Linked DNA regions of Oryzias latipes. The protein of the gene in region 1 purifies or fractionates together with the protein of each later gene. This does not show direct contact. Links are inferred from orthologs where the notes say so. Each region holds a gene or a part of one and is shown on either strand. Other genes may lie near its edges.

What was found.
Region 2: the proteins of psmd12 (region 1) and ubiquitin-protein ligase E3A purify together in Homo sapiens (affinity purification with mass spectrometry; 4 studies listed by BioGRID and IntAct, with this or other methods). This does not show direct contact. The link is inferred for Oryzias latipes from reciprocal best matches to the Homo sapiens genes PSMD12 and UBE3A.

What each region holds. Positions count from the first base shown.
Region 1 is NC_019859.2:31,314,430-31,320,373, forward strand, and holds part of psmd12 (26S proteasome non-ATPase regulatory subunit 12), read right to left. Parts: intron 2,750-5,944; coding exon 2,621-2,749; intron 1,459-2,620; coding exon 1,351-1,458; intron 1,189-1,350; coding exon 1,084-1,188; intron 890-1,083; coding exon 740-889; intron 619-739; coding exon 484-618; intron 1-483.
Region 2 is NC_019860.2:926,343-932,065, forward strand, and holds the start of ubiquitin-protein ligase E3A, read right to left. Parts: upstream 4,035-5,723; 5' UTR 3,760-4,034; coding exon 3,683-3,759; intron 2,895-3,682; coding exon 2,850-2,894; intron 1,340-2,849; coding exon 1,035-1,339; intron 937-1,034; coding exon 1-936. Other genes in the region: RNA polymerase II degradation factor 1, read right to left, coding at 5,496-5,723. UniProt on the Homo sapiens protein: E3 ubiquitin-protein ligase which accepts ubiquitin from an E2 ubiquitin-conjugating enzyme in the form of a thioester and transfers it to its substrates.

The sequences.
Region 1 (5,944 bases):
TCTGACATCAACAAGGTATTTCTGCCCACAGAACAGCAGCTCACTGGATATTTCCTCTTTTCCTGACCATACTCTGTAAACTCTAGAGATGGTTGTGGGTGAAAATCCCAGTAGATCAGCAGTTTCTGAAATCCTCAGACCAACCCGTCTGACACCAACAACCATGCCACGTTCAGAGTCACTGCAATCACCTTTCTGCCTCATTCTGATGCTCGTTTTGAACTGCAGCAGACCGTCTTGACCATGTCTACATGCCTAAATGCTTTGACTTGCTGCCATGTGATTGGCTGGTTAGAAGTTAGCATTGAGAAGCAGTTGGACAGGTGTTCCTAGTAAAATGGCCAGGGAGTGTATGATTGGCTGTGTTTTACCATTACTGATCCCTCAATGACACTGATATTGAATAAGAAAAATCAATACATTAGGAACTTAAAAGTGAATGAACTGCATCCTGACTTGAAAGCGTTAGGAAAACACATCCACCTGTTGCCATTCGCTGCTCTTCTCCAGGATGCAGGGGGTGTCATAAATAGCCCTGTAGTGTTTGCATATGGACAGGTAGGAGTCTTCATGCTGATCCACTTGAATCATCAGGTTGTAGTACTTCAGCTTCAGCTCCTGAGAGATCAGAAGGGAAATAATGGAAGGGTTTGGTTTTTATCTTTGTTCATTAGAGAGGCTTTTTGAAAGCAAACCATTGAAACACAACAGAACAATGTCAGATATTTCAGCTTCTCACCTCAGTGCCCTCATCTTGAAAGAATTTGGTGTTTATCTTCTTGCTGATGATCTGGGTGCGAACGTAATCCTTGACAGCAATGCAGAGCCTCATCTGTTCCAGGATGAATTCGGCTTTCTCCTTTTTTTCCATGGAGCCGTACGTTTCAACCTGACCAGGGAAGCAAAAGAAGAAGGATTTCTACACAGAAACACACATCTTAAGACAAGTTTCATTTAAAAAAAAACAACCCCTGTTAAGTCTATTTCGCACCAGTATAATAAATAAGCCATATTTGCGCCACATAGCTATTTCGTAACACTTTTGTTCAAACAGAGAGGTAATAAGTTATCTCAGCTTCTCACCTGCAGCTCCTGAAGAATAGCAGCAGCCTCTTTGACATCCCCATTCTGCTCCTTGATGTTTGCCAGAGTCTTTGTTAGTCTGGCACGCTCAATCTCCACATAGATCTGCAGGGTTCACAAAAAGACGCAGTTAATGAAGTATTCGTGTCTCTCTATACAGCAAGATGGTGACCCTTAGCTCCATCACTCTTTTCTTTCTACACACAACGTGTGAGGGAACTACTGCTGCGTCCCTGAGACCGCCCAATGAAAGGACGGAAGCCAAACCTTGCCAGCAGTGACGGTGCGCAGTGTGTCGATAAGCCTCAGCTTGATGGTCAGGTCACTCATTGCGTCCACATATTTGTAGCATTCCTGCACCATTTTGGCAACAGCCTGAGAGAAAGAGCACAGCAGAATAATGCTCAGAGGTTCCAGTAACAAGCACAACACCACCAGAAAAACTCAAACCAAATAAACCATTTGGGCAACATTTTACCGCAGAGTTTTAGGGCCACCAAAAAAAAAAAAAAAAAAAGGAAATTTCCAAGATTTAAAGTCGCATATTTACAAGAAAAAAACCCTGTAAACTACGAGACTAAAGTGAGCGTACAGAGCAGCAAGTGAACGTTGTGCAGCAGCAGAGCAGACCGACTAAACTTAGTCTAACAGTTAAACAGAATGTTAATTGATAAAGTTTCAAATGTTTGGAAGCTCATTTGTTTGATCGACAATTTATTGATGTTTTATTTAATTACGGGTGGCTTTCAGGATCTCTGCAGTCTGTTGATGAAGACATCGGTGTCCCTGCAGATGTCCACTTCAATCCTTTCTTCCTCCACCAAACCCAACATCTCTACGTCTGTGTGACGCTTCCGTCTGAGGAGCAGCACTTTTTGGCATTTTCAACGTTCTAATGCTAATATAACAGACTATTTTCATTCCTCTTTATTGTTTCATGATGAAACAGGACTTTTCATCTGCAGGGGGGGGGCGTATGAAACACCGTTTCCTTCCACTTTGGTGTTTTTTCTACACATGACAGATTCATGACGTAAGGTGACAAATGGACTTCTGGGTATTTGAATGAAAAGGGAGAATGAAGTTGCGATCCTCTGCACCCAAACATGTCTCTGAGTTCCATATTTTACATATAAAACTCCGCTTTACCGACACTGAACCCCGGAAAGCTGGCTACACTAACAAGAATTTGGTTTTGAGTCGCCAAAAGGCTCATAATTTCTTTGTTATTTGAAACCTATCCGTAAATAAAGCTTCACAAAAATGCTCCACATCTTTCATCTTCAAGCGAGGCTCCGATAAACAGACAACGTTGGGGTGTTTCCTCGTTAATTTATGAAATTTTTCTGGTAAACTAACAACTTTATTCTTGTAATTTAACAGTTATGACTACCGGTATTTTTCTTATAAATATACGACTTAAAAGCGTAATTTAAAAATAAAAACTGTAAACTGCCCCTAAAACTCTGTTGTAACAAATGTTTGTAAAAAAAATTAAAAAATGTGTTTTTATTTCTGAGTCATCACAGACACTGACCTGTTTGAGCTGACTCCTCCTTTTGGACAGCAGCATGATGTTTTCATTTAGCGCATCCCAGTCCTTTGCTTCATAACACAACTGGACCACAGCAACAAGGATCCTGGATGTGGATATCATATCTGACGCCTGCAAGAACCACACAGACTTACAGTATTTATATTAAAAAAAAAGTTTGTTTGTTTTTTAAACCACACACCCAAACCACAGCACATTCTTTGTTTCATTGACGTTTAATGGTTTATAATTTTCCTTCCATCTTACTGCACGCAAAGTGAATAAGCCTAAAACATTTCAGAATTAAATGTTATATGTGTCAGTTCCTGCAGTCCTTAATGCAAACTGTTTGTCCTTTGTGCATAAATTGTGTTGTATAAACAATCTGTACAAAATAGTTGTTCCTTTACATTAAACTCAAACTCTTAATCTTATTAAACGCACAGCTAAGCCTCACTGCAATATTACTTTTTTTTTTTTTTTTTTTTTTTTTTTTTAATGTTAAACAATTAATTTATTAATTTATTATAACTTTTTTTTTTTTTTTTTTTTTTTTTTCTTCAAGTTTCTTTTTATTTGAGTATTCAGCAACATATACAGTGTAAAAGACATTCAAACTTTTTTTTTTTTTTTTTCCCTTAATACCCCAAACAAACAAACAAACCCCCCCTGTTGCACCCTAAAGAAAAATAATTAAATACAATAAAAAAAGATTTTGCTGAATGGAGTAACAGTGTTACCCCTCAGAAAGAAGCGATGGATCAATATCTTTGATCTTGCTCAGAACTGGCTGCCAGACATTAAAAAACCCTGCAGTACAACCCTTCATTGAATATCTGATTTTTTCTACGGTAAGATGGCACATAAGATCCACAAGATATTTCCTAAAAGTAGGGGGTTGTTTGTTTTTCCAGTGTAGGAGGATTAGCCTCCTGGCCAGAAGTGTAGTGAAAGCGATCACACTTTTGGATTTACTTGGAAGCCGCAGAGAGAACTCTGATACACCAAAAATTGCAATTGAGGCCTCAGGAGCCATGTGTGTCCCCAATGCGTCAGAGAGAAGTTGAAAGATGTTGTGCCAGAAGGCCCTTAGTGTCGGACAAAACCAAAACATATGCGAAAGTGTACCTGGTACCCTATCACAACGATCACAATTAGCATTAAGGTCTGGTTTGATTTTAGCTAACTTTACTTTGGACCAATGCAGTCTGTGAACCACCTTGAATTGTATAACCCTTTGTCTTAAGCATATAGAGGATGAATAAATATTCTGAAGAGCAGTCTGCCATACATCCTCTGATAGGTCCGTAGCCAAATCTTCTTCCCACTTTCTTTTGGTATGAGTCAGTGGATCTGTGTTTGATGAGTTGATTGCAGTGTATATTTTGCTGATGAGTCCTTTTGACTGTGGATTAAAGGTCAAGATGTTTTCAAGAAGTGAGTCTGGTGGTCGCGAAGGGAAATGGGTGAATGTGGTAGATAGAAAACTTCGAAGTTGAAGGTATCTGAAGAAGTGAACATCAGGAATTTTAAATTCATTTTTTAGTCTCTGAAATGAAACAAATTGACCTTCGATGAACAGATCCTTCAGGGTTCTCAGACCATTTGTGGACCAATATGTAAAAGAGTTATCAGTTATGGAAGGGAGAAACATAATATTTTTCACAACTGGGGCATAGATTGACATATTTTTAAGGTGCAGGCTTCTCCTAAATTGTGCCCAGATTTTAAGTGCATGTTTAACTACTGGGTTCTGTGAAATTTTGTCGAGGGATTGTGACAGTGGTATTGTTGAACAAAGTAGAGAGTGTAAAGAGGCAGATTGACATGACATTCGTTCAAAATTTAACCATTTAAGATCCTTATGACTTGATGTCTCTAGCCAATAAAGTAATGTACGGATATTTGCTGCCCAGTAATAGTATTGGAAATTGGGAAGTGACATTCCCCCATAATCTTTGTGGTATTGTAAAATATTTTTGCGAATGCGGGCAGTCTTCCCATTCCATATAAATGATGAAATCAGTTTGTCTAGGTTAGAAAAGAATGTTTTTGTTAAAAATAAAGGTATAGACTGAAAAAGATATAGAAACTTAGGTAGGATGTTCATTTTAACAACATTAATTCTGCCTCCTAAATAAATTGGTAAGGATTGCCAGCGTTGCAGATCTTGTTTTACACTATCTAACAATGGAATAAAGTTTGTTTTGTACATATGTTTATAATTGCTTGTGATCCAAATCCCTAGATACTTGAATTTATGCTGGCTTAATTTAAATGGTATGGAATTTGACACATCTTTTAGTGCAACAGGATTTATGGGCATCAGTTCACTTTTGTGCATATTTATTTTATAACCTGATATTTTTCCAAACTCACGCAAAAGTGTGAATAAATGAGGAAGGCTGTATAGGGGATCAGATATATATAGTAATGTGTCATCCGCGTACAGAGATACTTTGTGTTCAGAATCCCCTCTCTGAATACCTTTAATAGAATCATCACCTCGAAGAGTAATTGCTAGAGGTTCAATGACCAAAGCGAATAATAAAGGTGATAAGGGACATCCTTGCCTTGTTCCACGTCCCAGCTTAAAAAAAGGTGAAAGATTATTATTGGTACGAATTGCTGCGACTGGGGAAGAGTAGAGAATACGTATCCATGAGATAAACCTTGGGCCAAAGCCAAATTTTTTAAGTGTATAAAAAAGGTAGTCCCACTCCACACGGTCGAACGCTTTCTCAGCATCAAGCGAGAGAACTATTTCAGATGTATCTGGTGGAGAGGGATGATGAAGAATATTTAAGAGTCTTCGAACATTATGAAAAGAATGACGATCTTTGATAAACCCTGTTTGATCATCAGATACGATAGAGGGCAAAACAGTTTCCAAGCGATGTGCTAGTATCTTAGCAAAGATTTTACTATCTACATTTAATAACGAGATAGGCCGGTAAGAACTGCACTCTAAGTGACTTTTACCTTTTTTATGTATCAAAGAGATAACAGCCTGTCTCATAGTCTCTGGGAGAGAACCTGAGAGGGAGGAGTCATCATAGACTGAGAGTAATATAGGGGACAAATCTTTTGCAAAGGTTTTGAAAAATTCACTTGGGAAGCCATCTGGTCCTGGTGATTTCCCACTTTGCATAGAATTTATGGCCTTCTGAATATCTTCTGTTTTAAAAGGTCTCTCCAGATTTTGAGATACTTCCTCATCTACTCTAGGCAGATTAAGCTTGCTAAAAAACTTGTCAAAAAGTACTTGATCCTTTTTAGATTCTGAGGTGTATAACTGTGTATAATATGTATGAAACCTTTGATTAA
Region 2 (5,723 bases), on another chromosome or scaffold:
TGCGGACCCCCAGCTCCGTCTCCAGAGGGTCCACCCGGGGACCCTTCTTGTTGCGGCGCTCCTCGCCCAGCAGCTCCTGCAGCGTGAGCTCGCTGGACTCCGGGATGGGCTCGTCGTCCTCGTCCTCGTTGTGCTCCACGTCCAGGTCGCCTCCCAGCACGTTTGCATAGTAAACTATCTTCAAGCACTTGGTGGACGCCACAACCGCGTCGTCGTCGTTCACCAGGTTCCGGCTGTTGAACTCGTTGCTGATCACCTTGTAGGTGATGAGCTGCTGGAAGGTCTCCATCATGCGGCGGATCTGCTCGGCGCTGTAGTGCGACCAGAGGCGGGCCAGCTTGGCCTGAGCGGCCAGTGGCAGTTTGCTCATGGCCTTACAGAACTGAGGCAGCGCGATCTCCAGGTACTCTGGACTGTGGAGGTTGCTGTTCTCCATCACTATAACAAACAGATTCAGATAGTTCGGGTCCCGTGAGTACACGTTGTGGTACGTCAGGTCGCACTCCACGTTGGGGGAGAGGTAAACCAGTGCGTTCAGGAAGGCGGCCTCTATCTTCTCGTTGGACAGGAGGCGCTCGTAGACGCGCCGCACGGCTTCAATGTCCACCGAGACCTCGTCCGGCGCCAGCTTCTGGACGTCGTTGTCTCCCGAGGAACCCTCGCCCGGCCGCGTCGACGAGGACGGGGAGTCCTCCTCCATGGCCGTAGCGGAGCACGCCGCTGCCTCCTTCTCGTCCTCGTCCTTGTCCTCGTCCTTGCCCTGGAGGGACTTCAGCTCCTCCTTGGTGTGGGGTTTGGACCGCCGGAAGCTCTGCACCAGCCCCTCGGCGCTGGAGAAGACCCGGCCGATTACTCGGATCAGCGGGGAGTAATCCTCCTTCTCCCCGCACATGCCCAAGATCTCGTACACCTTCTCCTCCGTCAGGTAAGATACATCTACGCGAAAAACAGAGCGGGTGAAACCGGTAGAACAGCCTTCCCGACAAGACTTCACCGGTCGGAACACGAAACCGGAACTTTGGGCTCAAGCTCACCTTTAAAATTTTCCCGTAGCGTGTGCGCCTCCTTGTGGTTCACCTGCTGGTCGCTGGAGGCAGAGTTGCTGTGCGTGCTGCTCTCCAGGTAGGTGGAGGCGGTGCCTTTCTTGGAAGGGTGCGGGTCACAGAGCTTGGCGTTGACCTTGTAGAGCTCCAGCGCCTTGACCGCCGCCGCGTTGTTGTCCATGCGCGTGAATCCCACCGAGGAGGCACACCAGGGGTTGGAGCAGCACTCATTCCCACAGCCTTCCGTTAACTGGTGGTAATAGCGCTCTATTAGATGTTTGGCGGCTGCTCGCTTCCTGCGTTCAGAGGAAAAAATCAGAGATTTCGGATGTGAACAATACTTTGATTGACAGCAGATACATTCACATTCTGCCGTGGCGCTCGTCTTCTATCAAAGGAGACATCGGCCGCGTCTTCAGGCCATGGAGCGGCGAGCTCCTAGTGAATGAATAATGGACACAATGCTATGTGAGATAAGTAGGACCCAATAACCGTTATCGTTAGTACAGGAAGTACAAAAACCATGTCATTGTGTGAGGACACAGGGTCTCCAGAGGTTAAGTAGATCTGAACACATTCTGTTCAGGAGACACAGCACAGGCCAGATTTATTGACGAGGTCAACAGCCAATCAGGAAGCAGAACACAATGCACTGAACTCATAAATATTTTAGAAGCACGCTGAAAACAAAAACAAAAATCAGCAAAGCATCAAGACCGCGAGGGACCTCCAACACGCTGAAGACGTTTGACCACGTCCTGGTCCAGACGTTATGAAACGCTCCACACAAATGTCGGTGGATCGAGACACGCTTCGTGCACGCGTGTACCTCAGCACATGTTCTTATTATAAACCGGATGCTTCGCCTGGACACCAAAACCGATAGTTTTTCTGCCTCATTTGTACACATTAAAAATAAATCTGTTTACGTTCACTCCAGGCTCTGAAACACTCCTACCGACCACTTCCAAGAAGTCTATGGGCATTTTGGGCTTCCGTGTTCAAAACTCCTGCGTTCTTAAGCTAAAGAAAGCTGATTGGAGAGTTGTTGGTTCCATTTTTGGACAGTTTTTATAACAACAGATCTTTCTACCAAAACGTTGGGCGTTCAGTAACGGTTCTGGTGACCCCTGACCGATTCATTTACACCCAATCGTACTACACTTCTATAGGACCACGAAGGGACAGAACCTGGTTTATGTTTAAGCTCCTCTAAACGGAACCAGAACAGCATTCTAAGTTTGACATAACTGTTGGTTATTCTAGGACAGGAAATGCAGAAGTAAGAAATATCAGACAAGCAGATTTCTGTTTAAAGAACACAATAATCAGCACTAGAGGAAATTTTCAGTATCGAAAGTAAAAGCTCCTGTTAGAAACATCGATAAGTGGGAAAACTACAGCAGTTTCTGGTTCTACTGCAGCTTTTGAGGCCCAACATGGAATCAAAGACGTCCAAAGATGTCGTCCAAAGATGTTCTGAGCGATCGCCCGCCCCTGAACCCCGGACGCCCAAAATGCCTCAAAAACGGCGTCTGAACTTCAGAGAACGTTTCAGCGTCCACAGCAGGACGCATAACAGAGCGGCCCCTAGCACATCTCGGGTACAATACAGAATTCCTGACGCTATCAGCGTCTTCAAAAAGCAACGGCTCAATTCTTTCTAGTAAAAACGTAATAAATCCGAAGTGTTAGTCGTGAAAGCAAACAGCCCTTTGATGAACGCACACAGACGTGGGGAACCACAGGAACAGACGGACACAGAACGGACATCCAGACGGCTCTGGGCGCTCGTTGGGGACTTACATTCGGCTTGCTTCTGGGTTTTCTACGTCAGGCTCCTCGTGTTCTCTGAAGGAACAAGAAAGAACAGATCACACATATGAAACGGGTTTGGACCGCGGCGTTTACATGCACCCCACTGACAAAAACCCTAAAAACGTCCACCGATTTGTGGCTTCGTTAACAAGAAGCCAGGCACTGAAGGATGTGCAGGTGGAGCCATGAGGGTCTTTCCCACATTCCTGGAGGCTTGGACAAAAGTTCCAGCCTGATGTTTCTGCGGGGGGGATCCAGATGGAGATGATGGGATGTGGTTCTGGCTCTGCAGACCTGCTCCCAGACTGACAGGAGGACCACAGCAAGCCTCCCAGTGTGACATGACAACAGCCCGTGCGTTGGTAGAGATGTTCCCCTTTAGAGGACGCAGTCTGCGGGCTGCAAACAGCAGCAGGAAGCGTGTTGTTAGCTCCACGGAGTCAGGGTGCAGCAGGTGGAGAACCCCCCGCACAAAGACCGGGTCCCTGTTTGAGGCTGGAACCAATCCAGTCTTGGAGGGACTTTCAGCGGAAAACGTCGCAGACTGCAGGTTTCTGCCTGGCGTGACTGAGCAGGCTAATGCTGTAGCAAACATTAGCAGGCCCGCCGGCCGTTTTTTAGTTTCATTTCACGCGCTTCCTACTTTAAAAACGTCGTATTAAACGTTTCGTGATTGAATTAAAATAAATTCAAAGCTGCTCGAAGTGTTGTCTAAACAGATTCAGCGAAAACGCGGAGCTCCCGCGCGGCTAACAGCGGGGAGCTAGCTAAGCTCCCGACATGCCCGGCAATCCCCGACTCTTTCCTGCCCGCGTGCCCACCTGTCAGCTCCGCTCGCCGGGCTGGTCTGGGCCTGTGGTGCCGCACACTCACAGTCCTCCTTCTCGTCGGGATTCATACGAGGCTTTCTCCCCGGCGGTTCCTCTGCGGCTGCGGGTGGCTTCGCTCGGTCCTCTGCGGTCGGTGAGCGCCCTCAACAGCACGGAGGTTTCAGAGCAACGCGGAGGCGGTCCAAGCGGGTCCACAACCGAGCTCGATTCACGGCCTTCTTCCTGCAGGTTCGATCCTCCTCCGGAGAGCTGCAGCCATGTTGACTCTGCCGTCAGCCAGCGTCCCACAATGCTCCGCGCCGCTGCCTGAGCGCGTGCCGGCCTGGATCGTTACTGAGCGGGAACGGGACTCGAACAGGACAGCAAGAAATGAAGAGTTCATCTCATTAAAATGAAATGAATCCAAATTAATTATGTATTTCTAACCAATTTAATGTAATCTGTTTATTTTTCTTAAAATTAATTTAATTCAATTCTTCCAAATCCTCATCGTGTTAAGGTCTTAAATTGAGCCTTTTTGAACATTAATATAAATTCATTTAAAAAAAATTTAATTAAAAAAAAATATATATATATCTATATATATCTATATCTATATCTATATATATCTATATCTATATATATATATATATATATATATATATATATATATATATATATATATATATATATATATATATATATATATATATATATAGATATAGATATAGATATATAGATAGATATAGATATAGATATAGATATAGATATAGATATAAACAGTTGTCAAAGTCTGAGACCCTAGATCTGGAAGCCAAAACCTCAAAGACCAGAACCACAGAAGTCTGCTTTCAGGCGCCCTCTACAGGCTGCAGCCAGAACTGTCAGCCAGTGATGGAGGCGTTTTGGTTCTGTATAAAAGCAGAGTCACACAGCCACTACGGGCATTTTGCGCATTTTCCACGTATAAAAGTTTGGTCTTTCGTGATTTAAGCGTGATCATTTTTGTCATTCATCAACATTTGCAGATGTCCACTGAAGGTTTCAACCGATGAGTCTTTACGTGAATACAGCACACATATCACGTTCAAATACGTAGTTGACGCACAAATTACTAATGAATTGTATATTAACAGACAATAATCATGTTTGGTTCATGTTCTTTGTTGGTTTACGAGTTCTTTGTTGGTTTATTCGTACTTCTTCCGCGGTTTTAACCTGGTTCATTCGTGATACATTTATGAAAATTTCACGTAAAGACCACAACTTTTCTCATTTTTTCCACGTTTATTCACCATCCATGCAAACTGTGAGAAGAGAAACCCTCTGGCTTGTTCAAATATATTTGACAATAGTTATTAATTGTCCGTTGGCAAACATCGGTTTCATAAAGCGTGTTTTTTTTTAATCAGAAATTTTCCAAAAAAAGCTCCTATTTTGTCACCGACTGCTGTCGTTGTTTAACCTTGAAGATTTGACAAACAACAACAAACTATGCGCTACTTGGAAGAAAAAAACAATCAGTTAAGTACACACACACACACTATAATACACTTAAACCAACCATAACACCAATACACACATAAACACAACCACAACACCCCAGCAGACACACATACACCAATACACACACTACCAGACAAACACCAACAAAAACACATACCAGCACACACACAAATACACCCCCACACCCCCAACAGACACACTATTAAACATACAACACAGACACATACACACAGAACCCACAGATTGATTGACAGTCAAATAAAGCTTTATTTCAAATCAGAAGTTACACGTTACAGAAGATCTGGACCGCCACGGTTCCTCAACATCTCCTCAGATCCAGCTGGAAGGTTCTCTGCAGGCTGGCGATGCTGGCGTCCAGAGCCGCCAGGCCGTCCCTGAACGCCGCCTCGTCCCTGGTGTCAAAGGTGGAGGAGGACCTGGCGCTCCAGGCCGACCACAAGGAGGCGGAGTCACAGAGAGACGGGGAGCGGAGGCGCCGCGCACACCCGCCCACCAGGTCTGTGCTCTCTCTGTCGCTTTGACCGGA